Linked DNA regions of Ovis aries. The protein of the gene in region 2 binds, or shares a complex with, the protein of the main gene of each other region. Links are inferred from orthologs where the notes say so. Each region holds a gene or a part of one and is shown on either strand. Other genes may lie near its edges.

Region 1 (5,320 bases), on a different chromosome or scaffold from region 2:
TGCAGCCCTTTTGCCTTTCTAGGAGAGGAAAAGGGGAGGGGAGGGAGACGCCACTCAGTGTCTAGGGGAGGGTGGTCAGGAGGCTGGAGTGTCCCCAGGGCCCAGGGGCTTGAGGACAAGCCCCCACCTCCAGCCGTGTCACGACCACACTGAGCTGCGCAAGGCCACCGCCCCGAGCAGACCTCCGCGGTCCAGGCCAGTGTGACCCTTCTGCTTCTGTCCCACTGGGAGACCCTGAGGAAGTTGGGTTGATGCCTCACGAATCATAGACCAGCATGGAGGGGGGAGGGGCTCCTGGACGGCAGAGCCTCGGTGATGCTGGGTGTGTGTGAGGCCCATACTGCAGACTCTGACGATGCCCCCCTTCCACGCCACCCCCAGCAAAGCGTGTCTGCGTGGAGCTCACCCGGACCGTGGCTGGGGCCCAGCGACAGCTCTTAACTGCAGAGTGAGCCCCAGGCCTTGCTCAGGCCCCTCCACGTGGAGAGCCCCGCCCCCCACCCCACTCGGAGCAATTACTGTGTCTGAGCAATAGGGCAGGGCCCAGAAGGAGGGCATATTCTGCAAAAGGCGAGGGGGGTGCAGAATCTGTGCTTTTCTTTTTCTGGTTGAAACAAGACTGAGTTTGTTCCTTAAATGCAGGACCTGAGAGCTCCAGCTTTGCTGGCCCTGAGCGCTGAGCGACTCCTGGACGCCCCTCTCTGACCAGGACAGTGTGCCCCCATCGCCCTGCCCCACCCCAGGCTGCAGCCCCCAGGGCACGAGGACCAGCTTGCCCAGCTCCAGGGAAAGCCGGCTCGGTGTGATGTGCAAGGAGCCTGAATTCCACATTCACCTCATCCCTGGCCTGCACTTTGCTCCGATCGATGCAGTCGTGGGGGTGGTGTGTGCACAGCCTTGCCCACTCACCGCTGCCCCCACCCCGTCCCCAGCACAGTGGGCCTCCGCCCACCACACAGGCACCAGCACCGTCCCCTGCTCTGAGCTGGGGTGCAGCCCCCCAGACCCACTCTGGCCCAGCCAGCTGGCCCATCCCCTCAGCTCACTCTGCACCTGAGCTCATCTCCATTCTACTCTCGGGGCGTTAAAAATAATGCATTAACCAAAGCACAATAAAGAGCAGCAGGTTCAAGTTGTTCTAAGGTGTCAGAAGCTCCTCAAACAGCACCACGAGGTGTGTCCCGACCAGCTGTAGTGACTGGAACCTTCAGGAGGAGCAGAGCCCCCCCCCCCCACCCCTGTCTTTCAACTGCAGGGAGACCTGGCCTGCATGACAAAGTCCCTGAGAAAACATTTAAATAGGACCTGGGCAGCTCTGCCCAACAAACATTTGAGAGACTATTTGTTTGGTGATGGAAGCTTGGGGGTGGGGGACGCTGAGTCTAGATGTCCTTTAAAAACTTAAGTTGGTTTTAACTGAAGCATCTACCATTCTGGAGGAAGGGAAGGGGGAATGGGAGGTGTGTGCAGGGCAGGGGTAACTGAGGTTATCCTCATCCGCCTGCTTCCTCCCTCCCTCTCACCTTTGTCTCGGTGAAGATGTTTTCCTCTCTTAACTAGAAGCCTTCAGGTAAAAATAAAGCCACAGCGGCAACAGAGGGGGGAAAAATGAGTCTTTTTTAGGGTTAAACATCAGAAGACAAGCTTGTGCGGCTTCGGCCAATCAGATCCGCCCTGCCAGCTATAATATAGTACTGAAGACAGCCTCTCGCACAAGCTCTCAGGCTTGCTACCATTTAAAATCAGACTCTTTTTGTCTTCTGCCGGCTGTCTTGAGCCCCAACTCCGATGCGTTCCGTTATCAGCGGCCAGCAGCCTGCCGTCCCAGCCCCCGTCTGGGTGCGGATCGGTGGCGAGTCCCCCGCAGCGGCGGCGGCGGGCAAGGTTATATAGGAAAAGAAAGAGCGAGGCAGGGCGCGCGGGCGCCAGCAGCCAGCCGGAGCGAGGGAGACAGAGCGCGCACACTCGCACACCCGCACCCTCGCGCACTCGGACCTGCGCCGCCGGCCGCCAGGTCCCCGGGCTCCATGGGCGAGATGCTGCTGCTGGCGAGATGTCTGCTGGTGCTGCTGGTCTCCTCGCTGTTGATGTGCTCGGGGCTGGCGTGCGGACCCGGCAGGGGATTTGGCAAGAGGCGGAACCCCAAAAAGCTGACCCCTTTAGCCTACAAGCAGTTTATCCCCAACGTGGCGGAGAAGACGCTAGGGGCCAGTGGAAGATACGAGGGGAAGATCACCAGAAACTCAGAGCGATTTAAGGAACTCACCCCCAATTACAACCCCGACATCATATTTAAGGATGAAGAAAACACTGGAGCGGACCGGCTGATGACTCAGGTAGAAACCCAGCGCGGGGCGTGGACTGTGTGGCTTTCAAGGGGTTATGTGTAACCATGCAGTTCGGTCTGTTTGCTCTTCAGGCAGGTAGAAAGGCGATTTTGCCCGCTCCTTCCCCACCCACCTGCCGGGCCTCCGGGTGCCTTCCTCTTCCTGGAGGGGAATGGAGGTGAAGGGTCCAGATGGACAAGTTGCGGGTGGGGGCGGGGGGTAAGGACGCCGGGACATGCGGTCCACGGGAGCCCCTGACCGCATGCATCCTGCTGGGACGGCCTTTCCATCCTGCCTGGCTCTGGCTGGAAACTTGGGGAGACCTTCCCTTTGGGGTCATCTGCCCTTCCCAAGTTGGGAGTGGGCACCGAGGGAGGAGGCAAGGAGGCAGCGTCAAGGGGTGTCGGGGTCAGCGGGCAGGTGCAGCCTCTGCGCTTTCCCTCTCCTTTCTCCTCGCTGCTCCGCTTTTCCCACCGCTCCCCTCGCTCTGTCGCCCCCACCCCACCGTAGCCCCTCCACAGGCAGTGCTGACAAAGGGTGGGGGTTCCAGAGGCAGCCGGGCTGGCCCCTGCCCGGATCACAGAGCTTCCACCGCCACTCGGGCGCGGGCGGTTGTGCCCATCCGAGTGTGAATGTATCGATATTTCTTTAAGGATGCCCTCTGATTCTCCCGAGCCCGCGGTACTTGAGGGGAGGGACTTAGAACTTACTGGCATTGCATCACGCTAGTTTTCAACCTGCTTGCCTAGGAATTAGGAGAGACTCGGTATCAGCGGGAGGGGGCTAGAGAGACGAACCAAAGCGAAACACGCATTCCTCTCGCCCTCCCTACCTCCGCTGAAGACTCCTGACTGCCCATCTCCCCGCCAGTGGGAGACTTTCCGCCAACTCCACGCACGTAGGACTGAAGCTAGAAATGGATTTCCTGAGGAATATAGGTCAACATCCTTTTTATTGCCCTATTAAAATATTCGAGTCCTACCTTTAGGGCCAGGAGCGCACCGCCGCTGACGGAGCGGCGCTGGCGGGGCGCTGGTGCGGGGGAGGCTGGGGGCGGGAGCGACCCGGGAGCCACCTCTGGGGCCGCGGCGCTCCCCGGCCCACTGCCCGGCCTTGCGGCGGAGCCGAGCAGGGCGAGGACCCGGCGGGGAAGCGGGCTTCCGCTGACGGGCAGAGGGCGGCGAGGGAGCGGGGGAGAAGGTCCTTCTCCCCGACTTGCTGGCATCTGCTCCCGACCACCTTAAATCTGGCCCGCGAGTGCGGACGCGCGCACCGGTGCCGGGAGCGGCGAGAGCCGCAGTTAACTCTGCGCAGGCCGCGGGGGGCCCGGCGCGTGCGGGGCTCCTACCCCCGGCCCACGCTCGACCCCCGCGGGACGGAAGGGGCCTTCCCAGGACCCCTCGGAGCCGGGGGAGAGGGGCGAGAGCCCGGAGAAAGCGGCGGGGGCGGGGGGCGCCGAAGGTCCCCGAAACAGAGGGCTCGGCGTGCGCCGCGCTCCGCGCGGGGCCGGCGCGGGAGGGAGCGAGGTCCCTGGCCCGCACCCTGCAGGGGCCGCGGGCCTCATCGCCCCGCCACCCGGGCAGAGCGCGCGGAGCCGCGCACCCGGGCAGACGCATCCCTGCTCCACTTACTCCCGGGTTATCGATCCCGCGGCTCGGGTTTCAGTGCGCGCGGGGCTGGACCGCGGCCTCCCGCCGGCCCCTCCACGCGCCCGAGCGCGGGCTCGGCCAAGGGCTCCCGGCGGCGCTCCGACGGCCAGGCTGGCGGGGGCGGCACCGGGCGGGAGCGGGCAGGCCGGTTCCCGGGCGGGGGCGCCTCCCGGGGCAGGGCGCCCGGCCGAGCCCCCGCCGGGCCCCTCGCCGCCCCCGCCGGGACCCACGGCCGCGCGGCCCGACGCCGGGCCGCTCCGGCCGCCGTGCGCTCCGGCAGCATTTGAACTTCTGACCTTCTGTCAACTTCCCTCAGACGAACGAAACGAAAACAAATACTTTTTTTCCTTGGGCAGTGGCTATTCCCGTTCCCAACACAAAAGGAGGGGGGAGGGGCAGCCGGCGAGGGGGCGGGGTGGGGCAGGGCGGGCCAGGATCGTAGCCGGGACCCCCCCAACGCCCCCTGAAAATGGGGAGGCTGGCCGGGGGGCGGCCTGAGAGGTGCCCCCTTGATCTCCGCCACCGCGTCCTTCCCGCGTCCCCATCCTAAGAGTTAAAGCGCGGAAGGCGGGAGACCTGGGCGGGGAGGGCAGGGCCGGCGAAGGCGGGGAGCGGGCACCTGCGCCCCGCGGGCCCCCCACTTAAGATAGCCGCCCAGACTGTTCTCAGGTGCGTGTCCCTCCTCCCCCGTCTCTGTGCGTCCCTGTCTCTCTAATGGGACTGCCGCCCAAGTCCCTCAACCATGGCGAGATCGTCCCCAGTGGAACTTTGAGAGCAGTTCAGGAACGCAGGCGCTCCTGTTAATATTAACTCGGGGCGGGGAGGGGGAGCGCAGACCGACGCGCTCTCCCCGCAGGCCGGCCGTGGGTGCCGGGGGCTCCGAGGGGGCAGGGGGCCGCCGGGGGCCGGCCGGGAGCGGCGGTGGAGACCGCCAGGTTTCCGGGGGGTGCGTGGCGGCCCCCGGGGAGCGGCGCTCCGCGGTGGGTTCCACGGGAGGGGCCTGGTTTTCTGCAGTGGGGGCGGAGGCGTGGAGAGAGGCGCGTGCGGGACTTGGGGGGGGGACCCTTGTGAAGCTGGGGCACCCCTCCCCCGCGCCGGGGAAGCCCGTCGGCGGCGACAGCCCCCGCTCGGCTCCCCGGGGCGCGGAGCGGCTGCGCAGACGGGGGAGGCGGCGGGAGCCCAGGCGTGGGGAACAGCTCGGCCTTCCGCCGACACAAAGCCGGGCCCGCCGGCCCCGCCGGGCTTCACGGTGGCTGCACAGAGGCGGGCTTGATTCGCGGCACACGACCCAGTGAATTGATCACCGGCCCAGCCTTCCCGGCTCTGCCTGCGACGACCCCGCCC
Region 2 (4,681 bases):
AAAATTTGTAGCAGTTATGTAACATATCTAGTTCTGATCAAACTGTAATTAGGAAGACCAATCCATAAGAACTTTTGGCAGAAAATCAACCGAATGCCTCCCTCTTAATTTCACAACATATCACCGCAGTGGTATATGAAATCAAAGAATGAAGCACCAAGGCATATCAAGAATGGATTATAAGGGTGTTCTCTGTGGCAGCTAACTAGAGAGCAAAGATGGCAAGCGATCAATTTTAAAGCACTAACAAAAGTCAAGGATCACAGACATACTCCTCATTCTTGCTGAGTGCTCAGAGTTCTAGAAAAAATATTTTGAGAATCATACTGTTACAAACTATATCTCCGAACAAGGGAGGCTGTGTGATATCCTGGAAAGAACGTGGTCTTTAGAGTGAAAACTGGGTTGTAACCAGCTTCTATCATTTATTAGCTAGGTGATCTTAGGTAACTAACAGCTTCCCTGAGCTTCAGTTCCTCATCTGTAAAATAAAGACAGCAACACTTTCTCAAGTACGTGTTGAGAATTAAATGAGATACTGGAAAACAGGTGCTCAATAAGTACTGTTTCTGCTCCCTCAGCCATTAAAAAATTAACATAAGTGAACTGAAACAAAGTAGGTTAATTTTATACGATCGAAAATGCCAAATGGTGTGAACAAAGAAAGTCAATTTGCAAATTTATGAATAAAGCTTTATTACATGAGTGAGTGAGTGAGTGAAGTCGCTCAGTCGTGTCCAACTCTTTGCGACCCCATGGACTGTAGCCTACCAAGCTCCTCTGTCCATGGGATTTTCCAGGCAATAGTACTGGAGTGGACTGCCATTTCCTTCTCCAGGGGATCTTCCCGACCCAGGGATCGAACCTGGGTCTCCTGCATTGTAGACAGACTCTTTACCGTCTGAGCCACCAGGGAAGTCCTTTATTACATGAGCATTTGTCTTGAAGACAGGCATTTACTAAAGAAAACTTTGTGACCATTAATAAATGCTCATGTAATAATTTATTTATATTTATTTATTACAATAATATATTTATTACATGAGCATTTATTAATGGTCACAAAGTTTTCTTTAGTAATAATTTATTACATGAGCATTTATTAATGGTCACAAAGTTTTCTTTAGTAAACTCCTGTCTTCAAGACAAAGACCCTGAAGTTTGAATAGATATAAGAAACATCTAAGACCCAATCAGGTCCCCTAGTGATCTAAGAAGATAAGAAAAAAACACATCTTAGAAGGATTTTCAGCAACAACAAAAAAAGCTGAAACCAAAGGAGCTTCAATATTAATATTTAGTTAATCAGAAATTGAAGTTATCACAATTCCTCACTTGTAACCATGAGGGCTAATCCATGATATACAAAGTTAAACATGTTTCTCTGAGGCCCTGAACTCTTCTTTCCTGGCAGCTACAGAGGAACCAGGCTGACTCTACAGACTACAGCAGATTTTGTTTAGTGAATTTGCTGCCAACATTTAGAGATCTGTGATGCCATATTGAAATCAAGATTCCTGGCCTCTGGGAATTTCTTACAATATTTGGGCCCTCATTTTTTCAAGGCCATATTCTGCCATATACTCTTCAGTCACCATCACTTCCTGCTGTCTTAACTCAGTTCACTTATCTCATCCATATATGAGCTGGGTCGCTGAGGCATGCAAGCTTTGAACCTCTGGACTTTATTTGTTCGTCTTTCTTCCACTAATGCCTGATGACAAGGCAGGCACAAGAAGGCTATTAATACAGGCGTTTTGACAGTAGATTGTTTCAGGGTTCAATCTAAAAATATGTACAAGGAGTTTTTTAAAATGACTTGCAATATTGAGCAAGGTCAGTAATTTTATTAGATTTATGTCTGTCTTAAAACTGGCTATAACTCAATGCTCTCTTTCTTATTTTTTTCTTTTTCCCTCATTATTTTTTTTAATTATAGGTAAATAAATTCAGATTAGTGGTTGACTAACCTAGAGAAGTAAAATTACAAGTTAATTAAACAAAATCTCTTGAAGCATGACAGAAACACTAAAGCTGTTTGATCAGTCACATACACCCGGACAGTATAGGTTATCAGTCACGTTCAATCCCAGGAAACTCGGAGAGGTTTGTCATTTATGATGCCACTCACTTGGAACGTCACAGAAAAAGCTGTCCTTGTGGAAGTTCCAGTCAACTTCTCTCTTCTCTCTTTCATAATGATCGTCTGACCACCTATCATCCCGATGGCTGAAATGGAACACAATTTGATCTTCAGTCAAGTCCTCACCATTCCAAGGATGAGAAGCCTACTGGTAACAATACTGCCTCAAAGTCAAGACCTATTTAGTGCTTGGTATGAAGTTGGATGGATGGGCATAAGCAACCACCATTAATTTTCTCACTTCTGAAAAAGGTAAAAAAGAAAACAAAACCCAAACCCAAACCTTCACTAACAGACAACACAATCTTAAAAGACAATGACAATTTCAACACATTCAGTGGTAAAGATTTTGAGCCACACATTTTAGATGTAATTGTTTTGCTCAGGCAGTTTTTATAAGTGGAATTAATTAGCAATGTTTTGTCTAAAAGTTAATAAACGGTTACCTTTTGGCTTGTTCATCTGCATATTTAAAGGGGTAATTTGCTAATGTTGCTTTGTATCCTGTATTTTTCACCATGTTATTCCATGTGACCAGTCTCTGGCCTATTGCAGTCCCTCTTGGTTCAAAACCCTAAGGCAAAATATTACAAATTCCCATTAGTGTACTTCATTTCAGGCTAAGTATAGTTATAACAGCTTGGGAAGGCAATGTCAAGGTGATGGATAGCTTTCAACAGAAAATAAATACGTTCTTCACAGCTACTCCAGAGGTGAACTGCATTAAAACAAGATGATTTGACATAATAATGATCACCTATTTTCTGTGACAAAACAGCCTGATTCTTTGGTATGTTACATATCTCAGGAAAGAGGATAGAAAACTTATCTGAAGCTTCTCTTCCATATGCATCCCTAGCATTTAGTAAATACTTATTTTTATGTTATAAAACATCATGGTCAAATTAAATTACATTATGCATGTTTTACAAAGAGTTTATCGTTATCATTATGCTCATTCATATTTTCCTCCCTATTCCATACCCGAGGGACATCTATCAGTACTTAAAAACAGACCCTGCTCTCTTAGTAACACTGAAATTCCTTTAACTTCCTCAGGAAAAAAGAGGTGACATTCTAGTTTTAAAGATTTTGTGAAAATGTTTTTATAGTCTGCAGATTCTCCAATTTACAGCTTTTTAGCTTAACCTGGAGACCAAGAAACAGCTTTCCAGATGTTTGAAGGTGAGCGAGTTCCTTGACTGCCTTTGAGAACCTGAGAATACAGACAAGTCTTCCCTCTTTCAGAAAGTGACTATACTTACTGATGGCTTGAGAAGGTTGCAAAAGAGAGGGTACTAGATAACATAAGATAAAGTGTCCTAAAATGCTTATTCTTTTGAGATGGTGGAAGGCTACATAAAATAGACGAGCAGATTCTATTGGCTCAGTTTTCCTTACCAGCAGTGGATCAGAGAAATCAGGAAGCTCTGGCACTAATACTCCAACCAAGGCACAGACCACGATGAACACCGTGCACATGCCCAGGACAACCACAGGCCAGTCTGCTATCAGGGCTGCGTAACTACAAAAGCAGAGAGAGAGCACAGAGAAAGCCTCTTAGGAGCAGAGTGAAGTTTTTTCACTACCTAACGGAGCAATTAGTTAATTCTTCCTACTTCAGACCTAGTACCGGTATTTATCAATGAAAGACCTAATGATATTATAAACTGTCGCTCCTCAGGTGCTACTCTTTGTGACTCCATGAACTGCAGTATGCTAGGCTTCCCTGTCTTTCACTATCTCCTGGAGTTTGCTCAAATTCATGTCTGTGGAGTCGGTGATGCTATCTAACCACCTGAAAGTGAGCATAATGTCCATTTCTGACACGTAATATTTCATTGCTCTATCTGTGCCTAGGAAAAAGATCTTGAATCTACACTTTCTAAGTGGAAAGAAATATATTTTAACAGAGGCTCCATCCTCTTTGCAGTCTCTTCCAGAACTTTTGTTTCTCCAGTTATTTCTTTCTCCCTACTTTCACTCCATCACTTCTTGAAAAAGAACCCAGCCCATAAACAGGTTCAGCTAAAGCTTTAAGAATTGTTGTTTTAGATGCTAAGTCATGTCCAACTCTTTGTGACCCTATGGACTGCAGCCTGCCAGCTGCCTCTGTCCATGGAATTCTTCAGGCAAGAATACTGGAGTGGGTTGCCGTTTCCTTCTCCAGGGGATCTTCCCGGCCCAAGGAACAAACCTGCATCTCCTGCACTGGCAGACGGGGTCTTTATTGCTGAGCCACCAGGAAAGCCTATAAGTCTTAAGAATAACCAAACCAACTTGAAACCTCCCCATAAACCTATTAACCATTCTTTTAGTTAAAACAAAAAGTTGGACATAGAACAATGATGAACTTATCCACTAGACTGTGAGCTACATGAGGGCAGAGACTTTGATTTGATTGAGTGGTTGATTTAGTACAATATTAGTGCCTCTTTCTTTTTGCTAAACATTTATATACTTTCTTTTTTGAAAATTATTTTTTATTGGAGTATAGTTGTTTTACAATATTGTGTTAGTTTCTACTGTACAGCAAAA

The links. The genes of interacting proteins can lie anywhere in the genome.
Region 1: the proteins of DISP1 (region 2) and SHH are in contact, whole or in part, in a cryo-EM structure (PDB 7E2I), measured with the Homo sapiens proteins. The link is inferred for Ovis aries from reciprocal best matches to the Homo sapiens genes DISP1 and SHH. Residues at the interface, in NP_001356523.1 of Homo sapiens: Lys242, Thr244, Gly245, Tyr246, Lys247, Ala248, Glu260, His265, Arg299, Phe336, Gly337, Asp338, Leu339, Cys340, Gln341, Arg342, Thr343, Glu459, Arg899, His904, Asp906; in NP_000184.1 of Homo sapiens: Pro49, Asn50, Val51, Thr55, Leu56, Gly57, Ala58, Arg68, Glu71, Phe73, Lys74, Leu76, Thr77, Pro78, Tyr80, Pro82, Arg96, Leu97, Gln100, Lys186.

What each region holds. Positions count from the first base shown.
Region 1 is NC_056057.1:119,084,261-119,089,580, reverse strand, and holds the start of SHH (sonic hedgehog protein), read left to right. Parts: upstream 1-1,712; 5' UTR 1,713-2,027; coding exon 2,028-2,336; exon of another isoform or gene 2,337-2,489; intron 2,490-3,037; exon of another isoform or gene 3,038-4,061; intron 4,062-5,320.
Region 2 is NC_056065.1:25,739,717-25,744,397, reverse strand, and holds part of DISP1 (protein dispatched homolog 1), read right to left. Parts: intron 3,669-4,681; coding exon 3,545-3,668; intron 2,718-3,544; coding exon 2,590-2,717; intron 2,230-2,589; coding exon 2,132-2,229; intron 1-2,131. UniProt on the Homo sapiens protein: Functions in hedgehog (Hh) signaling. Regulates the release and extracellular accumulation of cholesterol-modified hedgehog proteins and is hence required for effective production of the Hh signal. Synergizes with SCUBE2 to cause an increase in SHH secretion.